4 linked regions of the Arabidopsis thaliana genome follow. The protein of the gene in region 2 interacts with the protein of the main gene of each other region in a biochemical or structural test. Each region holds a gene or a part of one and is shown on either strand. Other genes may lie near its edges.

Region 1 (9,503 bases), on a different chromosome or scaffold from region 2:
ACTTGTAATCAGCATCGCATTACTTTTTTTGTTTTCTGGCTTCTCTTGATCAAGCTTATAAAAAATAGTCGTCAGGTATATATAGGAACTTGAAAACTTAGTGATTGTGTCACCTACGATGATTTTTGTTCCATCCTTTTTTCAATCTGAATGCATATGCTATCTCTGAGCAAGCTATTCTTAAAAATGTTAACCTAATTATGGAAGTGAGTTCGAACTCCAATAAGCATCTTAGTATTTAAGGTTTTGGTAGCCAAAAATTGATACATTTACCATTAATCATTTATGAACCCAATAATCTTTTATCGAACTAATTTTAGAAATATATGTCAATATTCGTGAAAAAAATAAGTGATCCTGACATAGCGATATCATAAAAAACGAGGGAGAACAAAACTAATATTTTTGTTTTATCTTGGCTCCGACTTAGTTTACATACATTATTCATCAATGTATCTTGTTGTTTACTCTGTACGCTAGGTTTCTATAACTAAAAGGTTTAGACCCAAATCTAGATTACGCTATTAAAGGATATAACCACCAATTATATTGACTAACGAAAATATGCATCCAATAAAAGTTTGTGGAAGTGTACAATTTTTAATAACGCTCTACAACGATGTTGATGGAAGATTTTTCGGCTTTTTTTTGTGTTAAAAAGAATTTTATTAATTAGACAAGGAGAAAGGGACTTATTAAAAAGTATAGAACATTTAGTCATTTTAGATTAAGAGGATGAGGTCACGGAGAAAGAGATAGAGGGCCCAATGAGAAGTGACCTTAATTGTATTATTGTATACCATCTTAATTGGCCCGTTTAGCACTAATCCCATCATCAAGGAAACATTAGCACATGCATGCACTTTGTACTAAGGTCCCTTTTCATTATTTTCTGTTATCTTTTTCTATATTTTAAAGTTTCTTCTAAATATTCCTTTCGTTAATAAAAAAGCAATGTTTTCTGATAAATATATTATGCCCCCAAATTGAAAGATAATCATTTTTTTATTATATTTTTTAATCATTTTTTTGGCTGATGCTTTTCTAATTAGTTGAGTTATTGTGGATTGAGTTAGTTTTTCAAATAAAATAAATGGTTTTATAATACGATTTTGATGATTATATACTTGTTAATTAAGTCCTTTATTTTATGTTGTAGTTCTACTGAAAAAATACTTTTGGATTATACGGAAAAAAATTAAACACCCAAGTGGTTATGCTATTTTTACTAATTGCTTGCCTCATTTGCTTTTCCAAAACTGATCATTTGATTTGTGTTTTGTGATTTTGTGGTCGAGAAAAATATCAAACTTAGAAAAGAAGGCAAATAATATTACAGATTTGATTAAAAGTGAGAAAAGAGGGCTTGTATGGTTGAATTTCTCTCTAATATGGCCCAATCTAACTGGTAAGAAAGGAGAGAAGAAGAGACATAATCATAGGTAATCTTGATATATTAATGTAGCCAAAAGCAAAATGATGTTTAACTTTTCTTTTGCTTTGCCACATTAACACCATTTTCTTCTATTTCAAGTTTCGATCTAAACCTCGTGTAATTCATTAATTTGTCTCCCTAGGTGTTCGACGTGTCCATTTTCTACTGCTTGTTGTCTTTCGTAATTAGTTAGAGCTGTCTAATCCACCTCCATTAGAAGATACAAAATCTAAATGGAAGTATAAACCCTTTTTTGTTCTTCTCTGCTTTCCACTATATAGACTACCTTTTTCAGTACTAAAGGTTTTAATGTTTTATTTATTATGCATTACTTAAGTTTAATAAGTCTCATCAATTTAAACGAGGACAGAATCATCTAAATTTCTCTTCTATATATTACTTTTAAGAAGTCTTTGGTGCAAAAATGTTTGTGAAGACGCGATTTACCACACAGAACTTAAGTTTACGCTAAAGCTATATAGCCTATATATAGGGGAAACTATTAATAAAAGTCTGCTCGCTGGCTGGCAGGCTGGGTATATAAAACATCTCTAACTATAGAAACAAGCATCTACGAGAAGTTGACAACGTTTTGTGAACATAAAACAAAGTAACAAACTTCCTAAAGAATTGAGGAAGAAATTTTTTACTTTCGACAAAACTCCCAATCGATACAATCATGGACATATATATAGCTTCCAGCATCCGAGAAACAAATCAGGAGCTCACATTTGCCCTCTTCCAAACTATGGTTCTCTAGGCTCTAGCTCAACTCCTCCGATCGTTGACCTAACCCTAACCATCGATTCCCTTTCTTTTTGTTAAAGAAAACGTAACAGTCATGCGTGAGCGAATCACTTACTACGTATAACATAAACTACATATCAAGCTAAGTGATGCGCTCAAACACCGTGTATCATGTAACTTATATACACCCTATAGGTTCCAACAAAAAAAAAAAAAAAAAAAAACTTCCAATAATTTCAATTTTCGCGTGGGTATATATTCAGCTTCACTAGTTCAATAGTCCTGGCCCAAAAAAAGAAAAAAAAGGAAATCGAAAGAAAATGTCATAATTAAGTTATTTAACAAAATGGGCTGAGAAGCCCATCACGCTTGTTTAACCAGGTCCATCTATATAGTGAACCCCACGCTACATTAAAAAGGGAACAAAACCTTTGAAAATATTAAAAACATTTTTTAATTCAAAACAAGAAACAGAACAGAACCCACCAATAAGCACAAAGCTCTTCACTGTTATAACGAACACAAATTAATTTTGTTTAGGATTATAAAATAGATTTGTTTGAATGCTACAAATAAACAATACATCAGTTCATAAGTTTGTATTTATGTCACGACGATCCACAAAACTGATCAGAAGACCCCTGTTTTCTCTTTATTGGTTTCAAGTTACTGTTGTTATTCGTCGTTGTTTGATCTTTAGAACCAGATAAATCTCTAGTCGAGCCATTGCCAATCGTCGAAGAACCGGCAAAGATACCACCACCAGAGACACGTGGAATACCCATCGCCACTGGTTGTTGTTGCATCCCCGAGACTTGGAACTGTGGTCCGTGGTTAACCGATGAACCACCACGGCTCAAATCAGGCAAGCCCATTGCATAAGGCATTCCCATACCCATTGCCATTGCAGCAGCTGCTGCCGGGTAATGCCCCATACCCGGTGGGAACATAACCGCCGGTGGCAGATAGTAACCAGACGCCATTGACATGATCTGTTGGCGATTATTGTGTTTAGATTATTAGTTTGCACGATTTTTATCGACTCTAGAGAGTAATGAGAGTGTTACCTGCACTTGAAGTTGGAGTGACTTGAGATACTCGATGGCTTCATCTAGCATCGAAGCTTTGTCCACCTTTAAACCATATAAATGTTACAAAAGCTGATTAAATACGAAAATTCTCGGCTTGAACAATCTTGCTTACAATATGGTTTCAATTGTTTTTCCGGTTTAATAAATACGGAAACCAATCAAAAACCTTTAGCAATTCGTTCTAAGATGCAAGTTTTAGTTTATTTGGCATTGCTCCTTATCTTTCAAACAAAAATGAATCATGAATGGTATTTGTAAAGGAGAAGAAGCTGACCTTGTTACAGTTTGGAATGAGTTCTTGCAGGGCACGCATCTTCTCGTTGATCCTATCACGCCGTCTCTGAAAATTGAGGACAGTAAGTTACCAAATATAGCAATCTTTTGTGAGTTTGAGAATGGACAAAAACCCTTTAGGGGCTTCACTCACTCACCCTTTCAGACAGATTATGCACTTCTGCAGAGCGGCTTCTCTTTGAACCCAAACCCGTTCGAGATGGACCTGCTTCCTTTCTTCCATCTCCTGATTCTTCTTCCACATCCTGCTCAACAATATTCAATAAAAAAACTGAAGAAAACAACAAAGAAACGAAATTGTAATGTGCATAAAATGACATGAGTTTAACTCACTTCACTATGACAGTCAATGTCTTGAATATTCGAATGCTTTCTCTTTAAAGAAAGTGAAGGACTTTCGGATGGGCCATCGAGACTATTACCCGAGCCAACAGAAGAACATACAACTGCTTTTTCACTCTCTTGGTCTTTTCTACATGAGTCCTCTGATATTAGGCAAGCCTTTTGGTTATCTTTAGGCGTAGCAGAAGCAACAGACTCGTTAAGAACCTTATCTTCAGAGTCTTTAGCTCCAAGAACTCTGGTCTGAAACACATTTGGCGGGCTTTGAGGACTCTTTTCTTTAGTGTCATGAAGGTTATTATTAGTAGTCTTCGCAAAAGTTGCAGGGCGTAAGAAATGTGAAAAGTTGACCAAACTAGGCTTGTTACTAGTAATTAGTGGTTCCTGCGTCTGAGTAAACCGATCCGGATTGGTTTGTTGGCTAGGAAGATCTCTAGCTCTATCACTTCCATACAGAGAATGCGATTGGAAACCGTTATACTGCGACGAAGAAGCAGCAGGAGCTGATTCATTGCCATCCTTTCTTCTCTGAAACAACGGGAAAGCAGTTTGGTTTACCGCCATATCACTCTCTTGCTCGTTGACAGTAACAGGAGACGACACATCACGCAAGAAATCAGAGCAATATCCATCAAGGGAGGGATGATGATTCAACCATGGAACAAAGTCATCGTCTTGACTCAAACCCGTCATTAGTGATGGCACTGACATAGGGATCTCGTCCACCATAGTCGTCTTTGAGCCATTTCCAATCTCTCTAGCTCTAGAAGAGTTTGCTTGTGGTGGAGGAATGTTCCTCGATCTACTTGACTGACTTTGAGTTGATATCTGACCATTTTCCCACACCAGCTCCACAACTTCATCTACAGGTCTGTTATTTTTCACACACAACAAAAAAACACATGAATTTGATGAACTTGAAACAAGGCAGACTTAAAGAGAGACAAGTGAATGGGACTCACGGAGAAGGGTTCCTGTCTTGAGCAGATTCAAGCTTAGCTTTGGTGAGCCTGAAAAGCTCAAACAGAGGCATGGTGTTGCGTTTTACAGAAACAATCTTTTACGAAGTCTTGATCCTAAAAAGGTGAATTCATAAAATAGACGAATTAGGCCAAGAAAAACTTGCCAGAAACAAAAATTGTACACTTTGTAATGCTTAAATTAGAAAACTTTTCAGTTCCCAAATTAGAAACTGGGAAATAAAGAAATAGAAAAGAAATCAATGTCTCAATCATCAATATGCAATATAAAAAAAGCAGAGATTTTCACTTAGTTTAATGGCAACATGATTAGTCAAATCAAAACCAATTGTTTAATCACACTGAAGAACGATTCAAAACAGCGCACTCAAGACCTAATTAACCATCTCTTAAGAAAACCAAAACAAAAAGATCAAAACTTTGATCTTCTTGTCTGAATAAAGCTATCATCGTAGCTGACCTGAGAAAAAGGGTACTGAAGCAATCGAAGTCAGCGAAGAGAGAAAGAGAGAGTGAGAACCTCAAAGTATTAAAGTGGCATCAATCCAAATGCAGAGAACAGAGGAGAAAAAGTCGGCGAATTGGAGTAGTCCTGAGAAAGTAGGCGGAGAGAGAAGGAGATGGAGACAAATCGACGCACAAGACGGACGCAGAGAGAGAAGAGAGGGGACCAAATCGTCTGTAACTGAGGATTTTGATTTTTTGTTTTCACAGTCTCTGAGACTCCGTTTCTCTCGAACATTCAACCTTTTAGCGTCGCCCGAATCATTAGCTCTACTCTTTACCTTTCTCTCTATTTTTCTTTTCTCCCTATATTTATAAACACATAATTAAAGAGAAATTGCTTCATATAATCAAATATTAATTATGTCAATGATTATATATAGTGGATTATATATGTTGCACTAAACATTGCAACAATTTGTTAAAACACACACCAAATACAATTCTACCATGTTTGTTTGTTTTTTTTTGCAAATAAAATGATGAATTTTTGCATACAAATAGTCGATCGTATGATTACTTTGATAAAAATTAAAGACAATGATAATTGCGTATGTATTGTTTTATCAAATAGTGTTCATTCTCTTATTTTAATAGATGGTCAATTCTCTAATATACTAACAAATCAGAAATACTATCTATAGAACCATCTCACTGAGATCTTTGTGATTAAACAAAGTATTGATTACTTTTTTGGGCATGTTGTAGGTATCGAGACAAGTTTAATAATTATCGTAAACAAGTACTAGTTGTTGTATTAGTAGTGGTTTTAGGCTATTAGTAGAAATAATTAATGTTTAATTAGATGTACTATATATAAATAAATTACGGTATTATACAATCCTTCAATTGATATGGTAACTGCTTTCATAAGATATTGTTATTAAACGAGAAAATTAAAGCAAAAGGGACCTAGAGAAGAGAGTTGGAGCATGGTGACCAAATTGCTTCTCACCGACCTCTGCACACTTCGTCTGTCTCTGTTACATGATACAGGTCCTTCGCATTATTACAATTAATTCATGGTGTGTCTATGAATAATTTAATACACTTACAAATATGAAAATAATCATATACTAGAATATGTTATCTTATCTTAAAGTGACATGGGCCTGTGATACACTAAAGTTGTGTGTGAAGAGATGTGTTATCATAAAGGAACACTGCCAAAAAAGCATCACACTCCAAGTGGGGTTGAGCAACCTTGTCTCTCTTTATCTATCTTAATTATTAAAGGTTTGACTTCTCTAATCATTACTATTTTTCTTAAGTCTTTTTTAGTCTTTACGATACTAAATTACTAATCATCCTCAAATTTGGGGACTCACTCAGCAAGTTCTATTAACTGATGAAAACCAATCATTTGCGCTATAATAATTGAGATTTTTTTTAATCATGGGATATAGTATGTGGTATAGTGGTTCCAAACTCTTAGATTAGAGCATATTATCTTTAAATCTAATTTGTTCCTTTCTATAAGTAAAAAATAAATAAAACCATCTAGAATATCAGTCGAGTTTGTTCACGAACGTTGCATCTTCTGGTTTATCTCTCGTTATAGCTCGGTTGATGATGAAATGTCAATTAAATCGCCATGCAAATTAGATTCTAAAATACGTAACAACCCATTGTATACTATAAACTTTCCAAGTGGATAATTTGAGTACATTTGCATGGACCATTATTGATTTCATCACTGTATTTTATGGCCATCTCTTGTTCAGAAAATAATTATAAACAAATTTATTATAAAATCAAACCGAGTAAATAAATAAGTAGATATATATATCAAAGAAAGAAGAAAACTCGGAATGGAAGTGATCCTACTATATTATTTGGGAAGTACATTTGAAATATAATCTTCTTTTTTGTAAGTAATTATATAGGTATGCCATTAGAAATAAAATTTTAAAGAGTAAATTAATTCATTTCTTTAAAAATTAAAGAGTCAAATACTAATTTAATTAATTAAATTTAACTCAAAAACGAAATACATTATTAATTTCCAGAAAAGTAACCAATTAAAATCAACAAATTAGATTTGATATCTAAATTATCATATTAATTTTTAAAATGTAACCTTATTTTTTGTAAGTAATTACATACGTATGCCATTAGAAATAAAATTTTAAAGAGTAAATTAATTCATTTCTTTAAAAATTAAAAAGTCAAATACTAATTTAATTAATTAAATTTAACTCAAAAACGAAATACATTATTAATTTCCAAAAAAGTAACCAATTAAAATCAACAAATTAGATTTGATATCAATATTATCATATTAATTTTTTATTAATTATTATAATTCACCTCTCATCTTTATATGATTCTATTTTTGCGAAAAAATAATATCATCGTTATAAAAAAATAATTAGAGTTTTTTCGCATATGCCACAATTTGAATTTTTAAAAACGAATATAAATTGTTCAGTACATGAAAAAAATACTATAACGGGTCAAAAGTAGATTTAAGAAAAAAAATTACTGAGTACTGTGTCATAATTTGAATATTTATATTCAATTTCATACATATTATTTTAAAATTTATAATCTTATATACTACAATAATTAATAACATATTAGATTTTTTAATGTGTATGATGTGATTCAATTTTTAATACAAGCTGAAAAATCCTACAATTGACGGGTTTAAATCAATATTAATACAAGATGGTATACTACATGTGAAACTCTAAAATTAACAATCAAAATACAAGTATATAATTTTAAACACTAAACAATATAAATAATATCAACAAAACATATACAACTCGTAGTTTCTATACATTTAAAATCAAATAAAATAATATCATATATTTATAATCAATTTTACAATAAAAGTTTTTAGTTTAACTAAAATATAAGCCTATCTGCTGTATAATGCAAGTTAAAATTATAAATAAGCAGATTACCATCACGATGGATGTACCTTCTCACATACACACCTATCAAAAACTTAAAACCTTTCAAAACCTCTTGGTATATTCAAATTAGGATTCTTCATTCATGGAATCATTATTCCAAAGATTTTGGGATGTCTTATGAAATGATTTTGGCAGAAGAGGATGTAAATTTTTTTGAATAAAAAGTACTCACCAAAACATATGTTTATTGGGATTTTTTAGATAATTAAATCAGAGAATAGGGCTGGACATATGAGTAACCCATTCGAGTTCATGTAGAACCCGTTCGGGTTTGGGATTAATGGGTATATGATTTACTATTTAATAGAATAATTCTAAATATTCGGTTCGGGTCGCGTCCAGTTGGGTTTAGGTCAGTTTGGATAAAAAGTTTCAGGCCCTAAAAGTACTCAAAAAATAGAAACGGATATTTTGTATGTAAATAGTGCGTCTCCAAACAAAAAAAACTTTTAAATTTATTAAGTTTTAATAAATTTAATTTAATTTAAATATATTTTACTAAAGTTTGACAAATATAACAAATAATTTTAACAAACATAGCAAACATAACAAAGTATACAATTTAATTTATATAAAATATTAATGTCCGTGCTATATACGGGTTATGATCTAGTTGCTATATGTTAGGCCAAAACTCAAATAAAATGACAAGACCCTGTCCCCGCACAATTCTCTCAATCCGCCGTGGAATAGGCCAACAACAGGTTTTTGATCACTTACTCTACATTCTCTACAAAAATAAAAGATCTGATCTTTAGCTAGCCGACCACGTGCCAGAAGTTTATACTGGCATTAATCTTTTACCTCATTATCATGAACAACTTAGGAAAGAGAACCCTAGCTCATTTTTTTTCTTTCTTTTCTTAGAACTGGCCCTTCCACAATTTAAAAGGTCAGATACATTTGCTATATATATTATCAAAACGTCACTTTACGTCAACACAAAAGCAAATTTGTTGGAGAAGATGATCATGATCAGCAGGTAAATTATTCTCGACGATGGTGATAGATGATGAGTCGATACACGTGGTGATTTTTGAGGGCACAAGAGATGTGACACATGTGACATATGCTATTACAATCTGGCATATTCTATATGAACAATATAGAAGAAAATAATGCGTTTCCTTTTGGTGCAAAATGCTTTTGTTTGTCTTTTCCTTAATTTGGTGCAAAATGTTGACCA
Region 2 (8,673 bases):
AGTCCTAACTGAAACATCTATTTAACGGTACTATTTCCTATTTCCTTTTTATGCTGTATCTAAACCAATTTGATATTAATATGTTTTGAGCAAATCTGCATTTTGGATTAAAAAAAAAAAACTGAAAGGCCAAAACAGTTAGAGTGCAACAATTCAACTTGCATTTTTTTCTTTTTTCAGAACACATCAATATTATTTTTACTTTGTATTTTGTATTTTGACAGACGAAACATGGTTATATATTGGACTGCATCGACATTCAAAAGCAGCTCGCCTTTGATCATCCTTTGCTCAAAAACCATTCTATTCAGGTTTTATTCTACAAAGTACTACAAGTAAAAGCTATTCAAGAATTTTTTTGGTCCAAAAAAAAAAAGTAAAAGCTATTCAAGATTTTTTTTTTCCTAATGGCTTAAATTATTATATGCAGTTGAAGCCTACAATCATACCTAAATGGACAAGAGATAAAAACACTCAAAAATCAAGTTCTCTGCCATTTCGACAAGATGAAGACATAAGTTGTCCACATGGAACAGTGATTATTAAAAGAACTACACTTGAAGATCTTATACAAATTCAACGTTTGAAATATTTAGGGGTTAAGTATACAACTTCAAAAGACAAGGATTTCCTCAATATGACCGGTCGTCATGTAAGAAAAGCTTCTTGTTCACATAGTTGAGACCCTAACAAGTGCTTAATTTTTTTGTTTCTTCCTCTTTTGTTTATCTTAGTTTGCTATAGCTGAATACTATAGAGACAACTATGGAGCAACGGGAAACATAAATTTATGGGATCCACCTGTCAACCCTGATCAATTTAGTCTTGCAAGTATATATGTCGAGAACGGTTTTAGAGACAGTTTACAGAGCATTTCAGCTGGATGGATAGTAAGTCAAAAACAAAATTACTTCAAAATTTCATAACAATTCAAAAAGAAAACCTATAAAATTGTAAAATAAATAAATATCTTACAGGTGTCCCCGAAACTAAATCAGAATAATAGTGGCTTATTTACATATTGGACCGTAAGTTCTTCAAACATATTGAAAGTTTGATAGTTCACTACATTGCATGTCAAGCCACACTGGCTAAATTGGTTGGAATTTATGATGGAAACAGGCAGATGGACATGAGAAGACAGGTTGCTACAATACAGTATGTCCAGGGTTTGTACAAGTGAGTAGCAAGCTCGCACTTGGAACTCTTGCCAGACCAACTTCCACTTATGATGGCGAACAATACTATTTACAAGCCATCATTTATCAGGTATATATAACCCCATGTTTCTCAAATCCCACTCATATTGACAAGTCGATGTTGCATAACACTTAGGTATATATATTGACCAAAAATGGTAGTAAAAATATCGACCGATGATTACTATTGTTTACTTATAACTCAAGTCAGAAACAACCCAAAATTATTTTTGTGTAATCGAATAAAGAATAAGCAAAACTTTATAAATTTACGTTTTGATTTGGTTTCATGAACCAAAACCAAGAATTAAAAATGTTTTCATTTGGTTTCAATTTCCATAAAACCTATATATAAAAAAAAAAAAAAAAAAAAACTCTAATTTCAATCGCTACTTCTAAAAGAGTTACTGCTTTTGGTTTAAGCAGGATAATATTACAGGAAACTGGTGGTTTTTGATAAAGAACGAGCCAATTGGGTATTGGCCAAAATCATTGTTTCATGTTCAAGGTTTAGCTTATGGAGCAAGTCGTGTGTTTTGGGGAGGAGAAGTTTTCAGTGCACTGAGACAGAGTACAAGCCCACTCATGGGAAGTGGACATTTCCCAAAAGAAGGTTTCAAAAAGGCAGCTTTTGTGAACGGCCTTAAAGTGATAGATCGTGAAATAGAAAAAATTAGAAGTCCACCAGTTAAAGATTTAAGATTATTCGCAAACAGCCCAAAATGTTATAAAGTCGAAACAAAAACAGGGGTCGGTGAGGAGTGGTCTAGTGCAATTTTCTATGGAGGACCAGGAGGATGCACCATTACTTAACAAATCTTTAAGGTCATTTACGTATAAGTATACCTTCTATTTTGATGTGTTAAGGAAATATATAGTAAAATAACTTTGACAAAAATAAGGAAATAGTAATACTAATATATAAGTTTTCAAATACTATAAATGTTAAACTTCTTTTTACATCTTCTTTATTAAGCAAATACAAAATTGATTTAACGGTTTGATACATATATATGCATGTTTGTCAAGTCTTATGGTCATGGAGATAGCAAGTCTTAACGGTTTGAGAAATTTGTTTGCCTTTTCTTTTAGCTTTATATTTTCGATATTATGGTCATGGACTGGAGATACCATATTAGTTGACATCACTACGTTTTTAGATGAAGAGATCCTATGAAAGACACTACAAAATGGGCAATGCTTGGCCAATTACATCATTAATTTTCTTGCTTTTGTTTGCTGGCTTTTGTCCGTCTATTTACATATTTTGTGTCACATTGTGAGCTTAGTTGCAAGGACTAAGATTTGTTTGTGCATTTGTATCGATAAGTCTTTGGGACTTGGGAGTGGAACATTTGTAAATATTCACTGTTAAGCTTAATCAAGAATTGCTTTCGTCAAAAGTAATAATAATAGACGAGAAAAGAATAATGATCGGGTATGTATATGAACCTAACTTTCTCATATTTATTCTTTGCACTAAGCCTCTGCAACCTCTATGTATTGATTCCTAGATCTCTGGATCATTACATGTACAGCTCTCTAAGTATACAACCTGAGAAGAGAGGACAAAACAAACCAAAGAAAAACAAGAAACAGATGGCGATATATATACATGTTAGGTCTCTCTGTCAATTTCTCAAAATTGTGTTTGCTTGTGAAAACAGATCTTCTTGTTGCTCCATGGACATTATTAACCTGTTGTGTGGTTTCCGTGATCCTCAGATTCCTTACTACTACTCACCCTGCTCGAACTTGGATACGATGTTGCTTGATTCTAAAATAAGAAAGATAAGAACTTGTGACTTGTAAGCAGAGGAACTAGCCATTTTTGGGAAAAAGATGACTGTTTAGTACCTGAAACTGAGGTGGTTGGGTCGGGTCGGATAAGAAATTGTGTTTGCTTGTGAAAACAGATCTTCTTGTTGCTCCATGGACATTATTAACCTGTTGTGTGGTTTCCGTGATCCTCAGATTCCTTACTACTACTCACCCTGCTCGAACTTGGGTACGATGTTGCTTGATTCTAAAATAAGAAAGATAAGAACTTGTGACTTGTAAGCAGAGGAACTAGTCATTTTTGGGAAAGAGATGACTGTTTAGTACCTGAAACTGAGGTGGTTGGGTCGGGTGGAGACCGCGGAACTGCTGATATGGATCCGTGTAACCAGCTGGATACTGAGGCTGGCCCGAGGTTGGATCATACTGCTGGTTCGGTACAAAGACTCTTGACGGGTCAGAAGCATGAACAGGGTATTGCGGTCCTGACCCGGCCATGTGAGTTTGTGTAGGCAAAGGTCTTTGAGCGGCTAACATGTTGGGGAATGGCATGAAGGAAGGAGGAGGAATAGGCTGGTTCATACCCATACCCATCGCCATATGAGGCATGTACTGTTGCATGCCCGGATACATCATTGGCATCATTCCACATCCCATTGACATCATCTGCATTAATCTCAGTCATATAAACTGGAGTTTTCATGGTAAAGTGTACATTTTCAAGAACTTAAAAAGGGCTTTCAAGACTTAGAATCCTTTAAAGAAAATGAACCTGTATTTGAAGCTGAAGAGATTTCATGTACTCAATAGCTTCATCTAGCATCGAAGCTTTATCTGACTGAGGATCAAAGAAACAACAATCAGTAACAAGGTTAACGTATACAATAACTTGAAGAGAAAGAAAAAAGATCGTCGAAGACCTTGTTGCAGCGAGGTATAAGTTCTTGCAAAGCTTTCATTCTCTCATTGATCCTATCTCTCCGTTTCTGTTACCAAATCCGCGACATTCTTCAGATTCATTGCGAAATCTTTATCGAAAAAGATTACAAAAACATAAGAAAAAACACAAACGTACTCTTTCAGAGAGATTATGAACTTCAGCAGCACGAGATCTCTTGGTAGATGTTGTTGATACACGTGCTTGTTTTGTTTCCTGCACCACAAGAAAACACCAAAAAAGTTAATTAAAAATGCGCTGAAAACTACAAAGTCAGACTAAAATGCGCCGTATTTGACTTGCGCACGATAGCTAACAACGACTCTGTTCTGTGTTTTTTTGACTCACCTCGCTACGGGATTCAGTTTCATCAGTAGTGGTGGCTTCTCTCTCTTTTCGTTTCCTATCATCGACGTTCGTCTTCTCCGGTTCGATTTCGCTCTTTGACACTACAGATGACGATGTACCGGTTATCTCGATCGCCGGCGCCGTCATAGCCACTGCTTTTCCCTTCCGATTATACGCGCCGCCTCCAGCTACGGCGGAACTGTCAGTACCATCCGTCCGCCGTGTTAAACCGGATTCACTCGCCGCCGCCGACGGTGTTGCGCTAGGACTTACCTGCGTAGATTCTCTCACAACCGCCTTCGAAAGCAACGGTCCAGATTCACCACCTCTACCGTTATTAAAATCCCCTCTCAGCCTCGAGAAATTCATGAAGTTCCTCACCGGCGGCCTCGACTCATTCGTCGAAGATACTGGCGGTCTCGCGGCGGTGACTTGACTCACCGTCGCGGTAGCCGTCGCAGTAGGTGCGGCGGAGAAGAGAAGATCTGAGCAGAAATCATCGTCACGGAGAGGATAATGAAGCCAAGAAGTCATTTCATCTTCTTGAATAAAAAGATTCTGATCTGAAGAAGGTTGCTGCTGAGGATCCATAGAAGGAAGAAGCTTCGGTGGAGAAGAAGAAGGTTTCTTGGTGTGAAGTCTCTGGTTTTGAACAACAACTTGACCGTTCTGCCATAAAAGCTCCATAAGATCATCATCTTCACCCCTAAAGTTTTCAATACTATAAATACTCAGATCTTGAACTAATCAAACTTTTTTTTTTTTTTAATATAAGTTTGAATAAAAGAACTTACATAGTAGTAATGGATTTTCTAGGAAGATGATTCAAAGAAGAATTATGGTTGTTGACATAATCATCATCGGTATCGAAGTCAGGGACAAAATGATGCATATCTCTCTCTCTACAAAGATGATGATAATGGTAAGTATTAAAATAACAAACAGTTATCTTCTTCTTCTGGTTTTATAACCAAAAGAAAAACCCCAGAAAGATCCAAAAGAGTAGCACTAGTGAGTAAGTGTACTACACACAGAGATTACTAATCAGTGAAGAAACATATATACTACCCAGACTATATCTAACCTAGAGAATTGAGGTTGGTACTGGATAGGCTTCTCAAAAAAAAAAATATATCACCTTTATTTCTGGGGAACTAGTATTGGATGACTGGATCTTTTTTTTTTTTTTTTTGTGCTAAAGGATGACTGAATCTTATTCTGAATTTTCGTGCTTTAAGAATGTGATAAGCTTCTTAAGGGTTTTTGTCTTTTTCTTATATGTCTCTCTTTGGAGTTTGTTTTTGCCTCTTCCGTGACTCTAGCATGTATCGCATTTACTATTGTGTCAACTAACTTTAACAGTGAATTCTCTATTTTATTTATGTGTGTATGTGTCTGAATAGAAACTTGTGCCCATTTTTTAACCTCTGAATAAAAAACCAAGTTGAACATAAAAACAAAATGTCTGAGATCATTTGTAGCTGACGGAGATAAAATAATCAGCCTCATTGTTTCTCATCCGTACTATAAATTGTTTTCATGGCATTATCATCAAAAAAAAATTATTTTATAAACTTTATCCAATGATCCGGTTAATTTTGGTAAAAATATATTTAAGTATTACAAAATAAATTTATATTCAAGGATCATCACACATTTATTCCGAGTTTAGAATATTAACTGATTAACACTTAAACATAACTGAATCGCATGTTACCAGATTACCATTTAACTTGTCTGGACCAAACCTAGACATCCTACATGAATATAATTTTCTTTTGATAGAAGATCGAATACCGGATGAAATGGTATTTTAGCAATAAGACTTGAAAATGTGGTATTTTGAGAAATGTCTCAAAAAAATATGACTGACACGAAAATAATATTTTGTTTTAAGGGAGCCTCGAATTCTAGAGGAGTATTGTAGCAAAATATCACACTTTCAAGTTGTGTTGTCAAAATACCACCAAAAGTTTTGTTTTCCAAAAATATTATACTTCAATTTTGATTTTCAAGAGTTCATCAGAATTAAAAAAATTAAGTTTGAATTGACCATTTTAATTTTAAGATATTGTTTTTAGGGGTTAGGGTTTAGTGTTTAAAGTTTAGAGTTTAATTTTGAATGTTGGAAGTTAAATTTAAGTTTTATGTTATTTTAAGAAACCAAACATTAAGTGGTATTTTTAAAGAAATAAACAAAAACTTAAGTATCATATTTAAAAATTGTCCTTTTTTATATCGCTAAATTATAGATTTAAGACTACATATATCTTGCAGGAAATATTCCTTTAGTCTTGTGGTTAAATCCATTTGATTCCGCTTTTTCCACCAGAGTTTGACTCCACTAAATCGTGTTATCTTGCATAATAGATATTGGCTATAGAATAGACCATGTCAATCCAAAGATGTTAAAAACAAAAGACTACAACATATGCAAACATGATATTAAAGACTTAAGTGAGTCTCCTCTTCTATAAACAGAAAAGTCGAATGCTACATAAAGTGTTAATTTATAATCATTTATAGTAGTCAAGTTAGTGAACAAAGTGTTAATTTCTTCTATAATACTTCTTTTGTTTCTATTTTGTTCTAGTTTAAGATTTTGGTACATTGATTAAGATCATTTAGTTTCTGTTTTCTTAAATTTTAAAAATATGTTTAATTACATATTTTAAAATAATTTAACCAATAAAAAGTTGCAGAATTTCAAGAATCAAAAATAATAAAATAATAATAAATTTTGCATTGAAAACAACAAATAAAATGAAACAACTTATTTTTTTTTATAATCATTTTACCTTTTGATAAAGAGCATTTATCATTGATATGGGAACACGCACATATATATATATATATACACATTAATATGTATATACATATTTTTATATAATTCCAAGTAGGGAAGAAAGAAACAGAGAATCAGATATGGACTCACATTGGTGGGGACAATATTAAGACAGAAATTGGGTGTTTTTTTTATTGATAATCTCAATGATTTATGAGACAGGGTAATATGTTTATTTTTGTTGCTAAACCACCCTCTTGCATGATCTATCAAACTTAATTATTTATTCTTTTATTCAGATTTAGACATAATCTATAAACATCAATTTTTTCAAGCTAAATTTTGTTGCTAAATCACCCTCTTGCTGTTGTACATTTTTTTTGTCCGCTAAAATGATTTGTACCTATCTAAAATATATTTTGATTTACCATCAAAGTTACTTTAAATTAAACAAAACGCAAAATAGAAAAAAATATTATCTCCTGATAAAAAAGTCGTAAAAAATTTTGATTGAATAATAATGATTTGCGTTTTTGTTCTTTAGAGTAAAATATAATATTTTATGTTAGATGCAAATGACAAGACAAAAACTGAAATTAAAGCCTGATTGTGGTTATATTTAAACAAAATGCTAAGTAATAATATTCCGAAAATTATCATATATATCTCGTCTTATAGACTACATATGCTTATGCAATTGTATGTAGCTTTTTTTCTTTACCAAATTATGATTTTGTAGGAAGTAGGAACTGAAACAATGAGACATTAAGAGAGAACATATTTAATGGGAGTCTCTTAATTACTAATAAAATATAAAAAAAAATAAGAGAGAAAAGTGAGAAATTCTAAAATTTTTGTCTCTTATTTGAATAACTCACAAAAAACTCTTGAGACATTATGTGTCTATAATTGTCTATCTTTTTCATCAAAAAAAAATTGATAATTTAATTTATGAAAATATTTAATTTATATTATTATTTAGAAACTCATTTTGGTTTCTCACCGTCTGAAGTACGTACTCTCGGTGACTGTGTTAATATTTGAATAATTAAATTGTTGATTAGTGATAATAACATAAATTCTTAGAAAGTTATTGTCTACTTGATGATCTTTACCAGCTTTGGAATAAAATATCAAAAAGGTCTTTATTAGATTAATAGAATAACATTTAATTTGTCATCAGATTTAGATACTAAATTAGCATGTTGGGTTTAAGGAAACGATAACCATAACAAGAAAACCTTAATCATTTGCATAAGACAATGATTTTCAGGTAATCGCACGCTAATAATACTTTATTAGGTCTAATATTAGTCTTTATGCAATGCTAAATGATCTGTAATCACTCTCTATATCCGTGTGAAATTTAGATAAATAAATAAATAGTGATTTAATAAATGCAGTATACTATATACATAATTAAATTTGGATAATAATATGTTGACGTCATTAGTACAAGTACAAACCAGTAGGTTATAAGATCTGAACATATGTATATAACTTATGTTTTAAGAAAATATATAGATTTTAACAGTTTTTTAAATGACTAATCGAATTCACAATTCACAAGATTGGCATTTAGTCTACTACAATTTTAACGTTGGAATTTTCATGAAACACTTAAA
Region 3 (6,606 bases), on a different chromosome or scaffold from region 2:
AGAAGTCTTGGATATTGTGATTTATTTATAAGAAAAAACACACTCAAAGGTGTCATATAAATAAATATATGCATCAATCAATTCTCCAACTTCTTCAAGGCCTTTGTTGCAATATGCAGCAATAGCTCCGTCCCGCCTCAAGTCTCTTCATCAATGCCTAAATCTTACACGTCTCGTAACTGCGCAATCACAGCCTTGACCGATCCAAGTTTTAATACCTCTCCGGTCTCGTGATCTTTAGTCTTCTCACGGTTTCAAGAAACATACTAAACAAAAACATCGATTTCAAAAATTAGAGAATAGCTATAACCGAGGAAATTATACCAATGTAAGATCAAGATATAAGATTCATACTCCCATGGAATATCTCCGACCATCATCCAATCTCCATCCTTGTCTTCATATGTCAAAACATGATGTTTTCGATCTCGATTACCGCCTGTTATAGCCAAGACAATGCATGGATATACTTCAAACTGTTTGAATTTAGTTGAATGTTGTTTTTACGGAATTATGTGTTGTTCATTAATTACTTACAGATGATTGAAGTATCGAACATGTGAGAGAGATTTTCTAATAGACTCTCGTAGCCTGAGAATACGCAAAGGTCGAGTTTTCTTCCAATGGGAACACCTTCCATATAAACCTTAACAAAGAGAGAAGTGTCATCACCACGACGAAGAAGACGACGACCCTTTAGTGTATCTCTTAATCTAGACTTTATCGGTGGCCAATCTTGTCTTGCTTCTCTACAAAAAAATAAAGATTTAAAACACAAATGTGAACAAAAGAAAACAGAGCAAAAACAGAACATAGGAAAAAACAGAGAAGTGATGTGAATAAGACCTTTGTGGAGAAGTAGAAGGAAATGTGAGACTAAGGGAGAGATTAACAGAAGATTCAGAAGGAGAAGGTTTAGTACTGTCGACAGAGGATGAAGAAAATGAAGAACAAGAGTTAGAGACCTCCATTAATGAGACCTTGAAGCTGCAGAGCTAGCTTCATGCTTCCTTCTCTTCTCTATTGAGAGTGCTCTTCATGTCTCTCTCTCTCTATTTCTATTTCTCTCTGTCTAGTTAAACAAAAAAGGACTAGTAGGTGATTCTATTGCATAGATTTTGAATTTAAAAATTGATTTAATCGACTTTGAAATTTAATATAAATAAATAATAGGAACATAAGGTTCCCCACATTTAACTATGAACTTTCAACCTTCTAAATATGAACACACATTGATTTCTGAAAACCACTGTAATAATTACCCGATTAGATACTTAATTCATGGGTTTAGATCTTTGGAGTTAGTTAGTAGTAAAAATGTGAAATTATGGTTTTGAGATTTGTTTACATGTAAGATTCGAAGTTTCCGTAAAAAGGTGGTATCCAAGGAAAGTGTGTCTAAATGATGTTGGAGTTAATCTGTTAAGGCTTTGATTTTAATTTCTCAACTGCTCAGATTCTTTAATTAGGAGAGATAAGGGCCAAAAAAGGCTTTATTGTCTAGCCGTAAACAGAAACAGAGCATCACATCACTTTCACTTTCTTACACATCAATATTTGAAAGAAAAAAACTGAGTCTATAGACTATGAACTTGGGGGATCAATTTTTTAGACCCTTCTGTTGATAAGAAAACTCAATTGTCTCTTATGACACATTAATGTAACAGACCATTGAAAATTGCAGAACCAATAAAAATAAGGTAGACTTGAAGAGTTTTGTGTATATTGTTTTTGTGGAGCAGACAGTGTTCTTTTCTTTAACTATACGTTTCCTGTTAATGTCTCTTTAGCTTTGTGGATTGTCTCTCTTAGAAGCCCAAATCTTTTACTCTTTTTTGAAAATCAAAATAGAATTCGTTGATTTATGATAACTTCAAAATATAAAGTAGACATAAATTGTTACATCACATAATGCTCATTGGCTGTATTGATAATAATATTAGATTCTAGAATCATCATGGGAAGTGCACTCTAATAGTTACTTTGTAATAAAGCCTACCTTGGATGTTGGATCGATAAGACTCCTATTAGCTATTATACGATCTGTCTTTGGACATGCATGTCTGGTCTCTAGGGATCCTTCTTGTTAGAATTTCGATATATATAACTTTATAATGTCTAGTAGTCTAATGATGAATGTTTACTCCTCTTTATACTTATAATAATAATTAAGACTACTATAAGTCTATAATCAATTAAACTTTTATCAAAAAAATATGTCCAAGGAGTTATTACTCGCATACCTCGACTTAAAAGAGTTTTGTCATTAGTTTTCGTTGAAGTAAGTAAGAACCAAAGATAATAATCAAACTCCTGATTTTCTGAAGTTTCTTAAAATGGTATTCAAATTTTGGCCATAACTCTCAATATATTAAGACCGAGCATGCGAACGAGAAAAAATATGATCACCATGGTTTGCAGCTCGATTACTTCTAAGTTCTAACCATGGTAAATTTAAACGTTTTGTTGAAGTAATATAGAGAGGCATGCAATAGTATTGTGCCAAAAAGTTATAGCAAGAGAGATCAATATCATGATATGTACTCCTAAATTAACGTGGCATGTTCATGCATAGACAAAGATGCAATCATATCTCCACGTTTGCATACAGCTTCAAATAATAAAATCATATAGTCATACAAACAAAATGAATGTCCGCTGCTTATGAAAATTAATTATTTGGATAGTACTTCGTATAAAAGTTACATCAAATGATTTTAGTTGATTTTAAGACAAGGGGTCCCTTGAGTGATACACAAACTCATCATGAGTATTCTGATCCATTTCATGACGAATAAATTAAAACACAATCAGAAGGTTGATCATGGGTTGGGAAAGATGTATTGGTCGGTCGATATGCCACATGTTATATTATGTTTTATACTTATTCCTGAATAGAAAGATATGTATGAGTCGAAATATACAAAAGAAGGATGAAACTTGTTCTTCTTTATAACCTTATAAAATGTTCACATTGTTTATGAGTGATTTCCCGCGTCCATTCCATACGACTTCATGATTAACATCCCTCAATATATTGATTATGACAATGTTCGAAAAAACTGTTAGATGCCAGGCAGACGACGATTCAACCGGCCAAGTTTTGTTTCCGCGCGCGCGCATAAGTCCACTATCTAATATGCAACCATTACGGTAGAAGTTTACTTGGTCCATTTTCATTGATAACAACAAAAAATCGTAAAACTTTAAAATTATGATGAAAAACGTAAAAAAGAACATGGGAAAATATATGGCGGAATCACAAAGCATGAAAAAATGCTTCGGAATGATTGACTGAATTTACAATTGGTAGAATTTAATTTTAAGAGATAACATTTAAAAATTCAAAACATTAGTTAGCTGTCTTTATACAAAAGAGTTATTTGTGTACCAAAAAATAGAAAACGAGATATATGACCACATGATGAGTTTATGCATGCCTATTACGCCATGCAAATAGATACACACACACATAGTTGTGCCTCTGACTTTGTCTGCAAGTACGTTTGTATGGTTCTAGACAGTAATTATTGTCCTAAACCCACACGCTCTGTGAATACTCACTAAAGGTTGTTTTCCGTAGAAATCATGAACAAAGACTTTAAAAGCAAAACAGAACAATAAATCAATTAATAAGTTCAACGGGATATAGTGGAAAAGAAAACACAGATACACACCATTGGATTGAAACAGTTGCATTTGTGGTCTTACATAAACCTACGTGTTCTTTTATAAGCCAACCAATACTTTTCTCTTTTTTTTTGTTTGAAACGAGTTGCAGACTTTGAGTGGCCCCAAAGAAGAAAGAAAAGATGCAATTTCCTTTGGTTTGATATTCTCTTCAACCTCTTACCTCTCTATTCTCGTCTTTAGCAAAATCTCAAAAGACAAAAAGATATTGATGTCTCTCCAACGACCCAATGGGAACTCGAGTTCGTCTTCTTCCCACAAGAAGCACAAAACTGGTAGGTGTTGAAAGAAACTTATCTAATATTTAACTTAATTTGGTTTAGAGAAATTGGTTTGTATAATTCTCAGAGGAAAGTGATGAGGAGTTGTTGATGGTTCCTGACATGGAAGCAGCTGGATCAACATGTGTTCTAAGCAGCAGCGCCGACGATGGAGTCAACAATCCGGAGCTTGACCAGACTCAAAATGGAGTCTCTACAGCTAAACGCCGCCGTGGAAGAAACCCTGTTGATAAAGAATATAGAAGCCTCAAGAGGTAATCAATGATGAGTAAAAAAACTTTTTTTTCTTAGCATTCGATTTGTGGAATTGAAATGGTAAAAAAGAAACTGTGGTGAAAAATTACAGATTATTGAGGAACAGAGTATCAGCGCAACAAGCAAGAGAGAGGAAGAAAGTGTATGTGAGTGATTTGGAATCAAGAGCTAATGAGTTACAGAACAACAATGACCAGCTCGAAGAGAAGATTTCTACTTTGACGAACGAGAACACAATGCTTCGTAAAATGCTTATTAACACAAGGCCTAAAACTGATGACAATCACTAAATATTTACCCTTTAATCCATTGTTCAGTGTTGTATGATTATCTTTCTTTCTTTTTTGGTTTTGGTTTGTATACACTTTTTGTTCGAATAACATTCACTTTGAGCATCATTGTCATTCAGATTTGCAAAATAAAGTAAAAAAAAACGAAAAAAGGCAAGAAGAGATTAGGTATAAAAACTAGAGTTCTAAAATGCCGTGGTGGGTCCCACATGTTCTTATGCGAGTGAAACGAAGAAGTCTCTGGAGAATTTGTTTTCGTAGAGACCAAGCTGCTGCTATATAAATATTGTGAAAGAGATGAGATTTTAATTACTTGTAAGTGATTCAGAGAGATCAGAAGAAAAGAATAATTACGAAGAAATGGAGAATTTTGGTGAAGGGAGAAGAAGTGGAGGCGGAATGTTGCCGTTGCTGGCTCTAAGCGCCGTCGCGGAGTACTATAGACTACCGTGGAAACCACCGGTGACGGCGAGTCTCCTGGCCGCGAACACTCTCGTTTATCTCAGGCCGGCGTTTATCGATCCCGTTATTCCTCACATCAGTGAGGTCTGGTTCAATCCTCACCTCATCTTCAAGGTAAACCAATCTTAATAAATTCCTTCATTCGCCAAGAGAAATTGATTGCAATTTGACCGATTTCGATCTGAAATTCGAATTTGAGTTTCCTGGGAAATTTGTACCAATATCTGGAGAATTAGGGATTTTGTTCTTCGATATCTAATTAGATCATTCTTGATTGATTAATTCTATTCTCTGTTAAAGTTTTTTTTTTTAATCTTGATGTGTATTTGTTGAACAGCATAAGGACTTGAAGCGTTTATTTCTATCAGCGTTCTACCATGTTAACGAGCCTCACTTAGTCTATAACATGATGTCACTTCTCTGGAAAGGTATCAAGCTTGAGACATCAATGGGAAGCAGTGAGTTTGCTTCAATGGTCTTTACTCTTATTGGTATGTCTCAAGGAGTCACATTGTTGTTAGCCAAATCGCTTCTTCTCTTGTTTGACTATGACAGAGCTTACTACAACGAGTATGCGGTTGGGTTCTCGGGTGTTCTCTTTGCTATGAAAGTTGTTCTTAATTCTCAAGCTGAGGATTACTCAAGTGTGTATGGTATCTTGGTTCCAACAAAGTATGCTGCTTGGGCAGAATTGATTCTAGTGCAGATGTTTGTACCTAACGCTTCGTTTCTTGGGCATTTGGGTGGAATCCTTGCTGGTATTATCTATTTGAAGCTGAAAGGTTCTTACTCAGGCTCAGATCCAGTCACTATGGCGGTTAGAGGTGTATCTCGATTGGTGACGTGGCCCTTGAGGTTTCTGAATGGTATGGTTAGGTCTCGGAGAAGGAGGATTACGGGGAGAGGAAGAGTGGGAAGAGGTCAGACTGGGATAGCAGGACCTGGTATTTGGAGATGTCAGTCGTGTACATATGACAATTCTGGTTGGTTAAGTGCTTGCGAGATGTGTGGCTCGGGACGGGCTAGAGGAAATGGATGGTCACTGAATCAGGGACCAGCACTTTCTTCTTCTAATGATCTCCCTTTAGATGAGCTGCGCCGTCGAAGAGTAGAGAGGTTTAGTTGATCTCGGGAGCGCATTCTTAAAGCTGAGGAAGGATTGTGAATGAAGCTTTGTTGAATCATTCATTGCATTAGCTTATGAATAGCAGAGTTAGTGGTCGTGTTTTTCGATCTGTTTCTTCAATTTGTCTTCTCTTTTGTTGTTGAAGATTTGGTTCTACGTGAACTGGTCCTTTGATTAGATTGCTGAAAGTAGCGAGTGATTCAGATAATATAGTATCTTCACACCAAACTTACAGTTTCACAGACTTTCGATTTTAACAAAATTTTATCCTATTTCAAACCAAATTTTGTTGAAAGAAGAAGATCACAAAGCAAGATATAAATGTTAATCAGTAATCAATTTCCCTTTTTTCTTCCTTTTGCCTCCTTGCTTGATTTGCGCTGAGCTTGGAACATACGAGCACACAAGTGGATCTCGAATTTTATCAGTAGTTTTTCCGAGATCCACTTCTTTGTAATATCCATCCTCTCCAATGATGTAAGCTGTGTTGTGAGTGGGATAC
Region 4 (7,008 bases), on a different chromosome or scaffold from region 2:
TCGTGGTGAATGTTATAGGCTTTTCGGTTAAGTAAAGAGACGCTATATTATATGGGGAAAGGGGGGACTTTATCAAGGATTCATTCCTCAAAAACTACAGTTAATAAGCTGTTACACGAACAAGTTGAAGAGCAAGATGGACGAATTATGAAACTGGAAGCAATACGATGGTTTTTCATTGGAACCCCTTGTATTGCTACTCATTTCAATTTTCGTATTTATGTGCTTTTTTGATATTGGAAGATATTGACTACTGAGCAGTGTCCTAGAAAATAGACAATTCATGAAACATAAGGTAACTGAGAGCAAAATATAGTGACAATGCCATTTTCCGGGACATTTTCCTTTCCCGGGTGTTGGTACAAAGACAGGACACAAGCCCTATTAAGTCTCAAAAAACTCACTTCAGCTTAGATTTTGAAGAGCTCATTAGAGGTTTAGCAATGGGACGAGCTGGAGCTGCCCTCGTGGCTTTCCTCAAGTCATACTTTATCATAGAGAAAGCGCAGATCATCGCAAGCACCATAGTTGGGTACACATAAACAGTTTTGGCTGGGTCAGTATTTACTGGCTTCCCTAAGATCCCTTCTTTAACAAGACCCCATACTAGTAGCAATGACCCAAACATGCTCATCCTTCCAGGCTTTAGCAAACCCACAAACGCCCCAGCTACAGAAAAGTAGCTCCCTGCAAGAACCTGTACAAAATGTATCACTTGTGAGACTATTAGTAGAATCTTAAGTGAACTGTGTTAGGAGCTCTTGAGATAGAATAAGCGAACCTCTAGGCGTTGAAGATCGGTCACTGCAGAAGCTTCTTTCACATTGGTGAGATTGTAGATATCTAACACATTTTCCCACTTTGGAAATGTCATGTTGATGGCAAGGCCATTGACTACAGCACCAGGGTATAAGAGAGCCTTAATCATCGGAACAGGAAAGATCTCACTAGAAATCAACTGAGACGATGTCACATGGATTGGCGATGAACACATACCAGATCTACATGGAACTCTGTTTTTAAGATTACGATTCAAGTCAGATCAACCAGAGAGACAAACAAACCAAGTAATGACTAATGATCCATATTATTAAGATTCTAATCAACTGATAAAATTTTGAATCAGCTTAGAGTTTCATACTAAAACCAGCTACACAAAAATGCGGAAACTTGAAAATGAATCAGAAATCAAGTTTTTCATTAATCAACCTTACGCAAGAGAAAGACTAAGCGTCGTCCACATATCGGATTCATAGACGCATCACTAGATAACGAAATATAGGGTTCGAATTACGCAGCTGAGAGTTTGTTTTAGTATGAATTTACCTGAAGAGAGGGATCTGGAATAAGATCAAGACGAAGTAAACCGATGAAGCCATAGACGTCCATTTCTTTATCCATCCCTTTGATTGCCCTGGGTTCGCCATTAACAAGCCCGCAAAGAAATCAAATCTAGAGAGAGAGAGAGAGATGCAGAGTGGACCCGTTGTTACCAGACGATAACGACGAAGAACAAAATAAATACTTTATAAACGACACGCTTTGCTACACTGTAAACACAAAACGGAGTCAGTGTTTAGATCTTTAAGGGATAAACGACGTCGTTTACAAAGATTCATATAAAAATCCGATTATTTTTCTCACTGCTGCTGAAAACAGCAAACAGTTTTGATGATAAAAGCCATGGCTCTATCTTCTGCCGGCGTCGTCTCTCATCTTCATCCTCCGTCGTTTTCTTCGTCGTCAGGATTATCCGTCAACAGAGTTCTGTTTCGGAATCGGAACGCTAGTCCTTGTGGTCTATCTCTTCCAATTCTCAATCCGTCTCGGTCTGTACTTGTTTTTGCTCGTGGCAAGAATCGAAAAGGATTCGTGTCTTCGTCTTCTTCGTCTCCGAAGAAAAACAAAAAGGTAAGAAAATCAGAATGAGAATGATTTATGTTCGCAATTGCTCTTACCTGCTGCTTTCGCCGAATTTGACTAGAATTTGGATACACTAACTAAGTGAGCTATTATCGGTTAGAATTGGTGAATCCTCGAATTAGACTTTGGCTCTTTTTGATTTTGTATCAGCCTTTGATTTCATGGTTTGTGGCAGAAAAGTTTGGATGGAGCTGATAATGGAGGAGGTGAGGAGGAGGAGGATCCATTTGAGGCATTGTTTAATCTTTTAGAAGAAGATTTGAAGAATGATAACTCGGATGATGAGGAGATAAGTGAGGAAGAGTTAGAGGCATTAGCCGATGAGTTAGCTCGAGCATTGGGTGTTGGTGACGATGTTGATGACATCGACTTGTTTGGTTCAGTCACTGGTGATGTTGATGTTGATGTTGATAATGATGATGATGATAATGATGATGATGATAATGATGATGATGATGATGACAGCGAAGAAGATGAAAGACCGACTAAGCTGAAGAATTGGCAGCTTAAAAGACTGGCTTATGCATTGAAAGCTGGGCGTCGTAAAACTAGTGTAAGTTTTAGTTCAGTGTTGAAGTGATGTTGAATACATTGTGTAAAGCATAGTGCTTGAGTTAGTGTCTGCTTTGGAGATTTTGCTTACGAATTGTTTAAGAGTTGACAAAGAACAAGTAGTTCTCTGGTTTTCAAATGCATAATTGATAACGGATGGTTTTGTTGTGATCTGTAGATTAAAAATCTGGCAGCTGAGGTTTGTCTTGACAGGGCTTATGTTCTTGAATTGCTTCGTGACCCGCCTCCAAAGCTGCTAATGCTAAGTGCTACACTACCAGATGAAAAACCGCCAGTAGCAGCACCTGAGAACTCCTCACCTGATCCAAGTCCTGTGGAATCATTATCAGCTGAAGATGTTGTGGTCGAACCTAAGGAAAAAGTAAAAGATGAAGCAGTTCATGTGATGCAACAGAGATGGTCTGCTCAGAAAAGAGTGAAGAAAGCTCACATTGAAACGCTAGAGAAAGTTTACAGAAGATCAAAACGACCCACTGTAAGGATTCTCCTTTTACATTTGAATCAATTTCTATGTTACTTGAATGCTCTATCTCACATATGATCATGTTTGATGATGCTGTGAATAGAATGCTGTGGTTAGCAGCATTGTTCAAGTGACCAATCTTCCAAGGAAGCGAGTTTTGAAGTGGTTCGAAGATAAAAGAGCAGAAGACGGAGTTCCAGATAAGCGAGCTCCATATCAAGCTCCGGTTTGATCTAATGTTAACGTTGAGATGGCAATGATTTGTATACTTGATTCTCAGAAACTCATCAACATTGTCGTCAAGGACAAGTTTTTTTGGTGATACGAGGAGTGTTTATAGTAGTAGATTCTGTCCAATGGTGTGGCTGGATATGTTGGACTATGAAATTTTAGGATATCTTGTATTCAGTTTTTAGTTATTTCCTTGCTGAGATTGTGTCTTGTAGAAAACCGTTTCAACTTTGTTTGGTTTATGGCGGCTATAAAGTTTAATTTTAATGCATGACAAAAACAAATCACCAAAAATAAAATAAATTACTTTCACGACACTTTTGAAAGCACTGCCCTAGGCGTGGGCCATGTGACAGAATGAAAGAACTCAGACCAAACTTTTCTGTCCAAGGACAGGAATGGGGCCCACCCAATTAGCTCCCCTATCCATTATTCACCGTAAGATGCTAACCAGATCTAACGGCTAAAATCCACCCACGTTCCAATCTCAATTGCCTTTGGATCCTTGTATTTCCTCAAGGCTCACCTTTCTCCACGATTCACTCTCGATATCCGTTCGATTCTTCAGAGATCTGACGGCGGTAGCCAGAGTAATCTATTCCTTCCCAAAATGTCTCGCAATTAGATTCTTTCCAAGTTCTTCTGTAAATCCCAAGTCCCGCTCTTTTCCTCTTTATCCTTTTCACCAGCTTCGCTACTAAGACAACAAATCTTTCCCTCTCTCTCTCGCCTGATCGATCTTCAAAGAGTAAGAAAAATGCAGGAACAAGCGACTAGCTCTTTAGCTGCAAGCTCTTTACCATCAAGCAGCGAGAGGTCATCAAGCTCTGCTCCACATTTGGAGATCAAAGAAGGTAAACAAAAATTGTCGATTGTTTTATTTTCATATCTTCTCCCAACGAGTGATCTCATTGATTTTCATTCTCATGCATTGGATATCTAGTAAATTCACATCTAGATTTTGTATCACCATTGATTCACATCTAGATTCACAACTTTTAGTCTCCCCCAGAAGATCTGCAATTTTTTATTGTATTTAAAAAGTTTGAAACTTTTCGTCTAAAGTCTCTTTTATGTTTTAAAGGAATTGAAAGCGATGAGGAGATACGGCGAGTGCCGGAGTTTGGAGGAGAAGCTGTCGGAAAAGAAACTTCCGGTAGAGAATCTGGATCGGCGACCGGTCAGGAGCGGACACAGGCGACTGTCGGAGAAAGTCAAAGGAAGCGAGGGAGGACACCGGCGGAGAAAGAGAACAAGCGGCTGAAGAGGTGTCTTTTTCTCTATTCATTGAATTTACATTTTTACCCTTTATATGGAAGGTGATTATGTTAAATAACGGTTGCGTGATGGGGTTGTTTGGTAATTTTGTGGTGAAAAGGTTGTTGAGGAACAGAGTTTCAGCTCAGCAAGCAAGAGAGAGGAAAAAGGCTTACTTGAGCGAGTTGGAAAACAGAGTGAAAGACTTGGAGAACAAAAACTCTGAACTTGAAGAGCGACTCTCTACTCTTCAGAACGAGAACCAGATGCTTAGACATGTACGTTTTGTCGATCTTACTGTTGACTTAACCTGCAACGTCAATGCTTTTGCCATTTGTTTTTTGATATATCACAGTACTGGTTTATCACATTTACGAGTCTAGGATTGACCAATAATTAGTTTAGTTAGTTAAAAGGATCTAAGAAGCTAACTTAAGCTTTAGATTAATTCTCAGAAGGCATGTAGGTTCTTGAAATGGTCATTCACTCGCATATTCTCTCAAAAGGCATGTAAATTCTTCAATGGTTCTTGAAATGCTCACTCATTTTGTTCTATATGAATGGAGAAGATGAGATTGCAAAGTTGGATCTCTATGTGTGTGTGTGGTAATAAAGTCTTTTGAGTTGTTATGTTTTTTATGTGGTGTAGATTCTGAAGAACACAACAGGAAACAAGAGAGGAGGTGGTGGTGGTTCTAATGCTGATGCAAGCCTTTGATCTCCTTCTTCTTCTTGTGTTATATTTTTGTGGATAAAATTTACAGAGAATTGTATCAATAATTATCATGTTAAAATTATATGGGATGTGAGAGCTAATATTGCAATTGTAGACCAAGTTCTCTTATTGTAGTCTTAGATTTCTCTTAATTGAAACATAATGTTGTTTTATAACAAAAATAAGCTAATTTTTGTTCTATGATATGACATTGTGACACTGTAGTAGAAAGGTTGCGTTTTCGATTCCCGCAGTTCAAAGTCCCAAACAAATTCTGGGATAGTGGAATCTTTACTCTTTTTTTTTTCCTTTTTGCCCCTATCCCTCCCGATTTCTTACAGACAAGTCGCCATGGATTTGTAAACGAAGATGCCGTTGATCATATTATGCGGAAATCGGACAAAGAGGGTAGGGTCGATCTTTTACAGCCAAAGCTTGTCAAGCTCGAGAGATGAGCAATCATGTAAGTGTTTTCTTACACTTTTGCTTTCCTTTTTCTAAAATCCATGGAATCCAGACATTGTTTTCTGTCACTGCTACCTTGAACTTGCTGCTCCCTTCTTAGAATCGGGTTGCCACAACCGAATTTCATGGACAAAATCGTACATTTCTTTACCTGTTGTATGCTTTCTGATTCTTTGTTTTCTATTTTAGATTTTTCGTGGATCTCATCTTCATCTATTGCTAGTTGCTAGTGTACTATGGATTGTTTGACATTATTTCTCATGCTTTTGAGGATACTCAGATTCTATCAATGTTAACAAAGAAAAATTTATTCTCCTTCTTTTACCACTTCCATCTTCTTTGTCTTACATTTGGACATTCCATGTCTTTACCAGCTTCCGCAGGGAAGATGTCCGTAGAGACTTTCTCAGTCACGTTCAGATGGAGTTTCAAAGAAAATGAATCTCTCCATTCAATGATAATGAGATTAAAAGAAGAGAGTCATCAGTATATCCAGGCGAATAGAGAATCTAATATCTCGCTTTCTAGCATCTTGCGAACAGGAAGTGAGGCAAAGGCTTGACGTTTTACCTGAGAAATCTCTCATATCATCAATATCGCTGATCAATTTGCAAAAAATCCGACAAAGAGAAAGCTTGAGGAGTGAACAGCAATGTAAGTATTTTAAGTCATGGAACTCAGATTTTGATCAATGCTTTCTTGAAATTTATCTTGAGTTTTTTAGTTGCTGCTTTCCTCTTAGAATCAAAATCTCACAACCAATGAAAAATCCTTATGATTCTACATTCTACATTATCTTTCCTTTTACTGTTTCTTACATTCTGTGTCTTGTTTATGCTTGTGAGGTTAAATTTTCCTTTTGCTGTTTGCTTCTTATGATTTTATATTTAGTTTTTTTTTTTCGTTGGACCTCATTTTGCTATTGAAACATTATTGAACGAAGCTTCTTCTCTTGCTAGTTGCTCATGTAGGACCCGTTCTTGTAATTTTCTGTGAGAAATATCCAGAATTTGGGGTATATATGTAATAGTTTCAACATTCTCAGTCAATGGAGATTGGAGTCAACGTTTTTCACTGTATACAGAGCCTCTTTAAAGCTCTGTGATAGTTGACTGCAAGAAAAGAGATAAGAAAACTGTGATACTGATCCTACTAATTTTATGGCTTCTTCGTTTTTCCTTACCACTGTTGCAGCTGCAATAGGCTTCTTCACCCTTTTGAGAAAACTCAGATTCCATCATGATAACAAAGAAAAGAAGTCAACTTCTTTATCTCCTTCATCATCTCCATCTTCTTTGTCTCCTTCATCAGTTCCTCCACCTTCTTCGTCTTGCATCTGGACACACCAAGTCTTTCCCAGCTTCAGCGGGGAAGATGTCCG

The links.
Region 1: the proteins of PIL5 (region 2) and PIF3 form a complex in vitro, tested with the Arabidopsis thaliana proteins (one study listed by BioGRID).
Region 3: the proteins of PIL5 (region 2) and HYH form a complex in vitro, tested with the Arabidopsis thaliana proteins (one study listed by BioGRID).
Region 4: the proteins of PIL5 (region 2) and HY5 form a complex in vitro, tested with the Arabidopsis thaliana proteins (one study listed by BioGRID).

Annotation. Positions count from the first base shown.
Region 1 is NC_003070.9:3,072,655-3,082,157, reverse strand, and holds PIF3 (phytochrome interacting factor 3), read right to left. Parts: upstream 6,391-9,503; 5' UTR 6,306-6,390; intron 5,758-6,305; exon of another isoform or gene 5,700-5,757; 5' UTR 4,943-5,699; coding exon 4,872-4,942; intron 4,781-4,871; coding exon 3,901-4,780; intron 3,813-3,900; coding exon 3,705-3,812; intron 3,614-3,704; coding exon 3,548-3,613; intron 3,316-3,547; coding exon 3,250-3,315; intron 3,175-3,249; coding exon 2,791-3,174; 3' UTR 2,504-2,790; downstream 1-2,503.
Region 2 is NC_003071.7:8,701,384-8,710,056, forward strand, and holds PIL5 (phytochrome interacting factor 3-like 5), read right to left. Parts: upstream 5,622-8,673; 5' UTR 5,402-5,621; exon of another isoform or gene 5,166-5,401; 5' UTR 5,156-5,165; coding exon 5,058-5,155; intron 4,970-5,057; coding exon 4,264-4,969; intron 4,132-4,263; coding exon 4,054-4,131; intron 3,965-4,053; coding exon 3,899-3,964; intron 3,817-3,898; coding exon 3,751-3,816; coding exon of another isoform or gene 3,736-3,750; intron 3,645-3,735; coding exon 3,306-3,644; intron 3,226-3,305; coding exon 3,142-3,225; 3' UTR 3,057-3,141; intron 2,977-3,056; coding exon of another isoform or gene 2,893-2,976; 3' UTR 2,641-2,892; downstream 1-2,640. Other genes in the region: AT2G20170 (NEP-interacting protein, putative (DUF239)), read left to right, coding at 225-311, 431-652, 735-890, 978-1,028, 1,123-1,269, 1,626-2,012. UniProt on the Arabidopsis thaliana protein: Transcription activator. Negatively regulates chlorophyll biosynthesis and seed germination in the dark, and lightinduced degradation of PIF1 relieves this negative regulation to promote photomorphogenesis.
Region 3 is NC_003074.8:6,020,070-6,026,675, forward strand, and holds HYH (HY5-homolog), read left to right. Parts: upstream 1-3,774; 5' UTR 3,775-3,901; coding exon 3,902-3,965; exon of another isoform or gene 3,966-4,038; coding exon 4,039-4,225; intron 4,226-4,317; coding exon 4,318-4,516; 3' UTR 4,517-4,641; downstream 4,642-6,606. Other genes in the region: IAA31 (indole-3-acetic acid inducible 31), read right to left, coding at 212-266, 355-439, 538-749, 847-971; RBL14 (RHOMBOID-like protein 14), read left to right, coding at 4,877-5,092, 5,316-6,104; AT3G17620 (F-box and associated interaction domains-containing protein), read right to left, coding at 6,429-6,606. UniProt on the Arabidopsis thaliana protein: Transcription factor that promotes photomorphogenesis in light. Acts downstream of the light receptor network and directly affects transcription of light-induced genes.
Region 4 is NC_003076.8:3,591,740-3,598,747, reverse strand, and holds HY5 (Basic-leucine zipper (bZIP) transcription factor family protein), read left to right. Parts: upstream 1-3,744; 5' UTR 3,745-3,947; coding exon 3,948-4,044; intron 4,045-4,274; coding exon 4,275-4,458; intron 4,459-4,568; coding exon 4,569-4,830; 3' UTR 4,831-4,953; intron 4,954-5,096; coding exon of another isoform or gene 5,097-5,165; 3' UTR 5,166-5,387; downstream 5,388-7,008. Other genes in the region: AT5G11280 (tail fiber), read right to left, coding at 401-697, 782-1,013, 1,327-1,427; OCP3 (overexpressor of cationic peroxidase 3), read left to right, coding at 1,672-1,911, 2,099-2,476, 2,654-2,971, 3,063-3,191; AT5G11250 (Disease resistance protein (TIR-NBS-LRR class)), read left to right, coding at 6,788-7,008.